Caenorhabditis elegans: one gene and its partner. The protein of the gene in region 2 purifies or fractionates together with the protein of the main gene of each other region. This does not show direct contact. Each region holds a gene or a part of one and is shown on either strand. Other genes may lie near its edges. The genes, in order: metl-1 and R151.8.

Region 1 (4,067 bases), on a different chromosome or scaffold from region 2:
GCCGCCACACCTTCCCGATTATAAACACATCGAGCACATTCCAACGATGATCCGTATGGAGAGAAAGCCATTTGCATTCTTTGCTTCACTACTTCTGCTGGATTCATGATAGCGTCATGGATAAGTGTTGCAACAACTCCAGAAGCTCCATATGCTAACGTATTGCTGTGTCCCGCGGAGTTTCCCGTCAAATATCCCTTCATTTTCTCGTAAACTGTGAAGTATAGAGCGTGAGCTGGCATTGAGCCTGCAGCAACTGCATTAACTCCACGTAGCGGTCGAAGCCATCCTTCTCGTTTAACAATGCTCATCAGTGAATGTACAGGAGTTGGACATTTCGTTTCAGGGCACGGACAAAGTGATTGCATTCTCGTTTTGACCGAATCGAATGGAAACATGACACAATGCTCAACGGCTCCGGCCAGGGCTCCAGCTGTCAAGTGCACCTGAATCTTAGATTGTGATAGAATGGGAAACACTAATTGAAAATTAATTTAATAAAAAAATTTTAATTAATAAAAATGCGCCGAATTCGTAATGGAACTTCTCAAAAAAAAACACGTATTTTTTGAAGAAAACGGTTAATTTTTGCCGAAATCTTCAATTTTGTCAATCTCTTTTAATTAATTAAAATTCTTACCGGGACGCTGTGTGTTGGAAGTGATTCGTACTCATCTTCGCCACCGCCACCCATTTTGCCCAGTACTGAGTATCTGCTGAAAATGCGATTTAAAAATTTAATAATTGATTAAATTTAATAGATATATAAGTAGAGTTTGAAAACTCGATGGAAATAAGTTCAAAAAATCAGACTATTAGAAGAATTGGATTTCATTTAACAGACAAAAACACAAAATCAACAAAATAGTTAAATAACAACCTCGGAGGAGGAGGGAGAGTCTCGTGAAAAATTGATGAATGTTGGAAGTAGGCAGAGGGGATTATAAGGCCGGGTTCGGAAGTCGCCTGAAGATTGCTGGCCACTTTCCTCCGTCATTTCGAGTCACTTTTTGTCCTTCTTCAGTACTTTCAAAGAGCATTTCCACAATCGGATCTTTTTTCATTTCTTCTTCAGTCAGCCGTTCGAAAAGTGGATGCTCGCTGAGATGCTTGACCATCCATTCGTGTAGATCCTTGACATCAGTGATTGTGTAGATAATACCTGAAAAAATAAAAGTTATAACAAAGATCAATAGGCACAGCGGGAAAATGCACTTGTAGGTGCGCAGAGCTACAGAGAAAGGAACAGGTTTCTACTTAGCTATAGTTCTCACGTGGCACACATGGAACGGATTGTTAATTTTATTGGGCAGGGAATTGAAGATAGAAGCCTACGTGCAAATTTGAAACAATTAAAGCTTCAGAGATTGGAAAGTTTTCTGAGATCTATCGAAAGTCAAGAAAAATGTTCGGTGATGAAATGTCTCGCAGCAGCATACGGCCACGCGGTTAGATGATAAATATTGTTTGATGGCGAGAATTAGGGACACAAAGACACATTTTCAACCGTTGATACGCTATTCTTATCATTGAAACTATTCCTATTCCATTATCTGCACTTGTGATCACTGGTACGATCAAGGTCACTCTCATACCTCCTTCACGAAGCACATAAGCGTATTCGGAGAGCAGTGTTGGAGTGATGATCCGCCATTTGTGCTTCTTATTCTTGAAATGTGGATCTGGGAAAAGGAAGAACATCTTGGAAAGTTGTCCTTTGTGGAAATAATTTGGCATGTATTTCATGGCATTTGATCGGAGAACGGCTACATTTCTGTAGTGACCAGCTTCAGCGTGATGCTTTCGAAGTGCTTGGATTTTTTCGTTTACGTAATCCGACACTTTCACACGAATTTCCATACCGATCATCAGATTATCAGGATATTTAGGTGACAATCTCATCAAAAGACCTCCATAACCACATCCGATGTCTGCAAAATCCACTTGACGTCCTTTTGTGTAATCGCCGTAATATTTGGTCCAATCCATACTAAAAATTGTCAAAATTTAACAAAAGGTAACACTTTAATTTTACTCACTGGTTTGGAGTCAGTGGATATTCAATGTCATGATCAGAATGAGGATTCGAGTGAGCTCGCTGCCTGAAATCCTTTTTTATTAAATATTAAACTTTAGTTTTCTCAGAAACTAACCGATAATGCTTCTTTTGAGGCAACCCTGGAACTGTCTCGCAAGTAGGTTTGTGATCCAATTCCATTTCTGTCAGCGCAGGAGTTATGTCCATGTTTTTGCTGAAAATCACGAGTAAATTATGTAAATATTTACGTAAATTATACATTGAGGTAGTTGAAAAATGCGCAATTTAATTTTAAAAAGTTAAATTTTAATAATTTAAAAGTTATATTTACTGAAAGTTAACTTTAAAGTTATAAAAGGAAAAAAATTAAAATAAAAAAATGAGAAGATCGTGAAGTGCGCCAAGCGTAACTCGATTTGCGCCAGCAATCAATTTTCGTGCGCAACTTTCGTGTTGGGGAGTTCTCGGCGTCTCCTAGGTTTCGCATTGTCTCTCGCCTTCTTCACAACAATTCCCGTTGCTTCACTTACAACAAAAAAGACCGGACAACCACTGCAGTTGTTCTGAATATACTTCTCACAGCCACGCATTCGTTCTTTTTCTCTTATTCTGTCACATAACTTTCCCCTCAACACCTATTTACTCTATTTACAGCCGGATTTCTTTTCTGATCCCCTCAAAAAGTAATTTCCAATTTTCAGAATTCAAATGCATTGATTTATCGGTAAAAGCTACTTAAAATGAGGACCTCACACTGCATAATACGTAGTTTTTCTCCGAAACGACTTATCATTTTCGTTGCCGCCTCCACACTAATCTATGTAATGCTACTCAGAAATTCTACATTAAATGATGAAAGAAGGTTTGTTTTTGATATATTTTTATAAATGTGAGATACTAAATATTAAATAGTCTCCAGGATAGCAGCGACTGAAGAGCAAGTTCGATCTGTCAATGTCAATGTACAGCAATCAAAAAACAGCGGAGTCGCTGAAAGAACACACGATATAAAGGATCCTGTTGAATTGGAAATTGCTCGACAGACGCTAACATTTTTAAATATGGAAGAAGCCGTCACAAAACCAAAGCCACCGGTTAAAATGTAAGTTTTTTCAGTGATTATTGTGAATCTAAACTAAACGTTTTTTTTATTTTTTCAGCGCCGAAGAGGACGGATCTTGTCCAATAGTTGAGAAAATACCAGATCTTCAAGGCGCTCTTCCACAAGCCACACTTTTGATTCAAAATCTTCAAGAAGGAGAAGTACACGCAATTCATCCAGAACTTGGCCCAGGTGGCTCATGGAAACCGGATGATTGTCAGGCTCGCGATAAAATCGCAGTGATAATTCCATATCGAGAAAGGCAAACTCACTTGACTCGATTGATCGACTTTTTGATTCCAATACTTCAACGACAGCGGCTAGATTTTCGATTCATTGTTACTGAACAAGTAAGAATTTTTTTAAAGCAATGCTTAAATAAAAATATTAAATTTTCAGTATGGAAACGACTTGTTCAACAAAGGCCGAATTATGAATGCTGCATTTATCTTCGCAGAAAGCCTTGGAGTCGATTGTGTAGTCTTCCACGACGTCGACATGTTCCCACAAGACGATCGGAACCCGTATTCGTGCCCACCTGGTCCACGTCATCTTGGAGCTTTTGTCAGTAATCTGGGATATCAATTGTGGTACAAGGAGATTGTCGGAGGCGTTTTAGCAGTATCAATGGCAGATTATCGTGCAGTTAATGGATATTCAAATCAATTCTGGGCGTGGGGAGGTGAAGACGATGATATGGGACAGAGAATACTTTCATTAAATTACACAATTGAACGACCAAATCCTGAAACAGGGAGATATTCTATGTTGAAGCATGTGAAGAGGAAACGGACTGCGCCGAAGTTGATGTAGGTTTTTATCAGGCATTTTCTAGTGTCAAAATATAAAAAATCACTTGATTTAAATTTATCTTAAAACTATTAATTTCAGCTAAAACATTGGAGAAAGTACTAAAAAATTGTTTTG
Region 2 (5,641 bases):
ACTTTGTTAAAGACAAAAAGGTGTGCGCCTTTAAAGAGTACTGTAATTTGAAATGTTCGTTTTTGCAGAATTTTTATCGCTTTTTTGAAGTTTTCGCACGATTTGTCAAAGTTCATGTCGAGACCGGGTACCGTACTTTTGACGCAAAATTCAAAAAATTTTGTGTCTGGGCTATATTGAACTTTTTAAAAAATATTTACCTCGCTGTGTGAATACAAGGATTTTGCGACAATGTCCATAAGATTCCGTGTCTCTGCTTGGAATTCATGTCTCTGTGGTTCAGAAGCCATCCATCTCCGTTGTGTTGGTACAGAAGGGGTGAAATGTGAAGCGGTGATGGGAGCTACGTATCTCATTGTTCGCATGATCCTGCCAGTTAACATCCGTACCGGGAGCGACATCTAATAAAATGATTTTTGGATCTGGAAAGGCAATAGGATGGAGATAATGATATTTGGAAAACAAACCAGTTCATAAAACAACTCTTGGCAGATATAAAACAGTATAAAAAAATTTTATGAAGCAAGAATCGAAATATTAAGGAATGCAAAAAGTAAAAACCTGAAATTCAATGGAAAATTGAGTGTAGTACAGAAAATGAATAATATGGAATATTTAAGAAAATACAATTCGTGAGATTCAATATCAGAAAGCAAAAAAAACTATTTTTTCTTCTTGGGCGTGGTCTTCTTCTTCTGAAAGTGCGATAGAATGTAATCCTGACTATCTTGCGATGAAGAAATCATATCGTGATATTTTTCGTGAACTTCATTAACTGAGAAATGCAGAGCCGGATTAGAAATTGTAGTCAGATCTCCGTGATTCGTAATATTCTGGTACATCATGTCGGTGAAGTCAATTGTTCTAAAAATCAGTTGTATTATTTGTTATCAAATTATTTCTTTACTTACGTGTTATTTCCTCCAGGAGTTTCCAAATGAGATGCATGTCGTGTCGATCCAGGTGACATTGATAGATCTCCACCGAAATATTGTTGCATAATGCTGTCTTTCTGAAAAATTAGAAGATTTTTTTACAATTCGATATTGTCTCATTGCATACCTTCGGAGTTGGATCTGGTGTACGTAGAGATGATAAAAATGCATCATTTCTTTTTCTTTGCAATTCAGGATCTGCACTTCGTTTTGTTGGAGAGAACACGACAGATGAGAAATCAGTTGGTCCTTGAGTACTTGTACTTGGTGAGTCAGAAGTTGCAGTGAGTTCTGATATTTTATGAGCATTTGATAGAAGTAGAGATTTCTTTTCCGAATATGTAGAGGTTCTTCTCGGAATTATTGTAGTTTTTGGTGCTGCGAACACTTGTTTCACCATAAGATCCTGAATCGCAGGAGCGGAACTTGACTCTCCGGGTGGCGGACGAATCAGTAGTTGAGGAGTAACTGTTGCAAGTACTGGATTCGTTGGTTTTCGTTTTGCTGGAGCAGTCTTCTTTCGAGTTGTCTTTTTAAGAAATGCGAGTTGACATGCAAAGTCTTCAGTTTCTTGTCGAACGATGTCGCTCACTGGATTGCCAGGAACATCCGAAGTAGTATCATCACATTTTTTCTTTTTCGAAGCTGACGAACTTGGTTCTCTGTAATGATATTTGGAACAACAGCTTTTTGGAACATCGAAAAATTTCGTTTTTTCGATATTTAGAAAAATATCTTAAATTTTTGTCATTTTTTTAGCAGCTATGTTTTTCATCAACATGATCAAAATTTGATGAAAAATTTAATTTTATTGTTAATTTACTAAATATTTTTTGATCTCTCGATGTTCCCAAAAATGTTAATTTTTTAATGACACTCTTGACTCGGATTGAAAATTGAAAATACTCGGATCGGAGGAAAAAGCGACTCACGAATCTGCCGTTGGTTTGTCTCTTTTTCTGGTCTTACTCGGCGCCAAACAATCTCCGTATCCTCTATTTAATAGATTAATCATTACTTTCCAGGGTTCAGATGCTTGAATAGGTTGGTTCTCGTTATGAACTTGATATCTTAATTGGATTGGATTTTTACGGCCACACTGAAAAATAGAACAAATAAAACTGATAATAAGAGTGTTAAATTAACTTACAACACAAAAAAGTTCCGCCACAATTGCATTTCGAACATTTTTAGAATTTATTCCTTCCGCAATAATTTCATCGGTTAACGTGAAAGGTCTTGGATAAGTTACAGTATGAGATGGTTTTGTTTCTGAAAAAACAATAAATGTTTTTGTCAACTGAATCATTAACTAACTGATATTAACATCCGTCGCCACTTTTATTCCAGTTACTTCTATTTTCTTAGCTTCCAGCTTCTCCTTACTCTCTTCTACATTCTTAATCAATTTGTTCATAGACAACGAGATGAACGGTGAATTTTCGGCCGATTGAACGCATAAACTCGCTATTTCACAAGAACTATCCGGCCATAAAGTGACTGAAATAGGGGTAGAATCTCCTGCCAATGACCATTTTTTGTGCAAAAACTCGAGAAGTTTTGTGATTCGATCGTTTGCATTGAGTTTAACACGAAGAAATGGATTCTGATTACGTTGTCTCATGAAAACATGGTCTCCATTGCTTGTTGGCTCGAGGTGAATGTAGAGATCATTTGGAACTTTATCACCTTTTTTGACGCCTTAAAACAATAATCTAAATAAAAACTAATTTCCAATCCATAAACTCACTGAAGTATCTGCAAAGTGCTGGGCAAGGTGGTGTTTTAATCGTTACCAATTTCCTACCAGCTCTGACGACAACAGTTCTGCAAACTTTTAGTAATAATTTTTCAAGTTCAAATTTTTTAAAACCAACCCTTCGAACACTAACTCCTTCAACTTCTCTACAATAACCTTCATATTAACAGTTTTACGCTTATATTCGCACGCGTTGATGAGAAGAAACAGTTCTCGAGCATCTCGTGGAATATTTGCAAAATCATCTGAATTTAACAAACATGTGAGATCAGATTAAAATATATTCTTATTACCATCTGTCATTGCCAATAATGATTTATATGCTTTTGCCGAATTGAAGAAGAACGTCTTCACGTGATCTTTGGTCTTTTCCATTTTTCGCTTCGCCATGAACTTTACAACACTGTCAAAATCTTTCCCGTGCTGAAACAATAATATAATCACAGAGATTGTTAATATATATGACTCACAAGCTTGATTCCATCATGAAAAGCGCAAACTTCATCAAAAGACCAAGCTCTTCTTTTTGGAAGATCTAGCGATTTTTGGTCAGAAAGTACAGAAGTGCACGTGGGTTCCGAACTTGACGGGTTCAATATTTCTCCATTTGTTGTAGTGTTGTCAGTTGATGTTTGAGGTTCTTTGTCTAGCCCGGACGTCAATGAAGTCGATGTAATCGGTGCAGGTGATTGAAGCGGTCTTTCCCTCAATACGGGAGGCCGCCCAAAGGCGATGCGTCGTCGAGAAGAACTGGCAGATGACGTTGATGGCTCATCTGATTGCATTTCTGAAACAAAAAATGAAGAAAATATAATCGAGAATTCTTTTCAAAATTAGCGGTTACCACCAGAGCGCATTTGTACACAGTTAAATTATGTCCAAATTCAAGATAGATTAAGGAACATAGCATAGCAACATATGCACAATACAGTTTGGATTGATGTAGAAAAATTTGAAAATCAGTTATAATATATTTGCCTTAACTTTGAAAGTCAAATAAGATAATAATTAGTGCCTCAAACACTATCGATCGATGAAAGAGTCAATGTGAAATAAACTGTTGCAAAAATATATTCAAAAAAAAACAACTAGAAATATAAAATGGTTATGTGAATATCACAAAGTACGATCGAATACAGATAGAAGTAAACCATCAGTTTTTTGAAAGAAAAATATGATATATTTAATATGGGGGCAATCCGAAGTCCTCTGGCTTAAACTGTTCCAAACTATTCAAAATCACAGTCACACGATTTTTGAATTCTGGGTCTGAATCGGGGTCGAAAATCGATCGTTCTGGAACCATCACACATTGCATTCCAGCATCGAGTGCCGACAAGACACCATTGTACGAATCTTCAAATACAAGAACTTTGTCCGCCGATTCTGGAACTTGTGGGAATCGTTTCATAGTCACCAAAAATGGATCTGGGTGTGGTTTTCCGTGTTTCACTTCAGGATCATCTCCCGATAAAACTTGCAACTTGATCATGTTCACCCAATCTTTGTGGTTATCCAATTTCGTTGGAAATGTGCGACTACACGATCCAGTACACAATGCAACTGGAACTCCGGTATGAAGAAGGTGACGAACCAGTTTCTCAGCTCCAGGCATCGCAGGACTCCTTTTGAACATTTCGATGAGAAGTTCATCGTATTGACGTGAATACTCTTCCGGTGTCACAAGATCGCCGATTTTCAGTTCGTTGATTAGCCATCGGATCGATTCATCATGGCGTTTTCCCATTTGCCCTGAAATTTATATTAAAATAAAAATATTTCTGATATTTCTTCTCACTTCTCTTCAAATCCATTGTGAAAACGTGTCCATATTTTCTCAAAAGCTCCATATTCGCTTCCGTGTATGCAGATTCTGTGTCGACGAGAAGACCGTCAAAATCGAAAATCACATGGGTCACTGATGCAGGCATCTGGAAATTTCTATAAAAACATATTTATTCCAGTTTTCGTTTCCTTAAATAATATTCAACTCCGAGATAAGTAACTCGAATCACTGAAAATTGTAAGTCCAAAAAATAAAAGATTAACAATTAATTAATGCAGAAATTAAGAGTTAACAGCTAAAATGGAATGAATACACGATGCTGCATGAGATTTTTAAAAGTGGAACCACATTGAACTTTTGATACAATAAAGGTAAAATTGCATTGATTAATTTATAGTAAACATTTGAAATTCTCGTGGCTTTCGTTGCCAAATTCCGAGATCCTTCTGTCGCAGCCAGGTAATGAACGACTTTTTTGCAGCAGCGTATTCTTGAGATCCAGCTTTGAGTTCTTCGTATGAGATTGGATAATCCACAGAAGTCTTTGTCAACGTGCAGATCTGAAATAGAAGGAATTGTTGAGTTTCACACTCAAAACATCAAGAAAATTATTTTTATTTTCCCCCAGCTTACAGTAATCATCAGTTCTGCCATATTTTTTTTACACAATCTGGATGGAGTCGTGATGTCAGCCCCGCTCATATCCTTATCATGAACCATTCCATCCGATGTTCGTACAACTTCTGTATTTCCATCAGCCAAGTTCCAATTCATCGAACTAATCGTGGATCGTGCTGCTGCAGAAGTTGATTGCTCAGTATCTTCCACTTGACACTCTCCGATTTCCACGTCTTGAACATGGAATGGAGCTGGAGGTTTGAAGGTGGCTGCTCTGCTGTAAACTGCTTTACGGAGACGATCTGCATTGTTCAACTCGGCAACGGCGATTGACGAGTAATAGATCTGAAAATCAAGATCTCATGTTATACTAATCAGGTTAAACTAACTGGATCGATGAAATGTGATAATATTGCTCCTTGGACACCCAGTACATTTGCTCGAAGCAATTTATCAGAGCAAGACATTGTCCTCATTCGTTCTCCCATCATGATTCCATCAAATGTTTGTGGAGCTTCAAACTCAGAAGCACCACCGAGCACT

Evidence for each region.
Region 1: the proteins of R151.8 (region 2) and metl-1 fractionate together in Caenorhabditis elegans (co-fractionation; one large-scale study listed by BioGRID). This does not show direct contact.

Annotation. Positions count from the first base shown.
Region 1 is NC_003280.10:11,471,318-11,475,384, forward strand, and holds metl-1 (tRNA (guanine-N(7)-)-methyltransferase), read right to left. Parts: upstream 2,259-4,067; 5' UTR 2,246-2,258; coding exon 2,154-2,245; intron 2,103-2,153; coding exon 2,040-2,102; intron 1,991-2,039; coding exon 1,596-1,990; intron 1,163-1,595; coding exon 942-1,162; 3' UTR 818-941; downstream 1-817. Other genes in the region: slc-25A37 (Mitoferrin), read right to left, coding at 1-452, 641-694; ngat-1 (Beta-1,4-N-acetylgalactosaminyltransferase), read left to right, coding at 2,779-2,900, 2,958-3,140, 3,199-3,490, 3,540-3,949. UniProt on the Caenorhabditis elegans protein: Catalyzes the formation of N(7)-methylguanine at position 46 (m7G46) in tRNA.
Region 2 is NC_003281.10:7,226,307-7,231,947, forward strand, and holds R151.8 (Myb-like domain-containing protein), read right to left. Parts: upstream 3,482-5,641; 5' UTR 3,480-3,481; coding exon 3,165-3,479; intron 3,118-3,164; coding exon 2,988-3,117; intron 2,940-2,987; coding exon 2,813-2,939; intron 2,763-2,812; coding exon 2,686-2,762; intron 2,637-2,685; coding exon 2,253-2,636; intron 2,208-2,252; coding exon 2,086-2,207; intron 2,035-2,085; coding exon 1,868-2,034; intron 1,598-1,867; coding exon 1,063-1,597; intron 1,013-1,062; coding exon 912-1,012; intron 865-911; coding exon 663-864; 3' UTR 501-662; downstream 1-500. Other genes in the region: hsp-75 (Histidine kinase/HSP90-like ATPase domain-containing protein), read right to left, coding at 201-401; R151.10 (uncharacterized protein), read right to left, coding at 3,878-4,446, 4,493-4,625; Double-stranded RNA-specific adenosine deaminase adr-2, read right to left, coding at 4,867-5,040, 5,114-5,443, 5,488-5,641.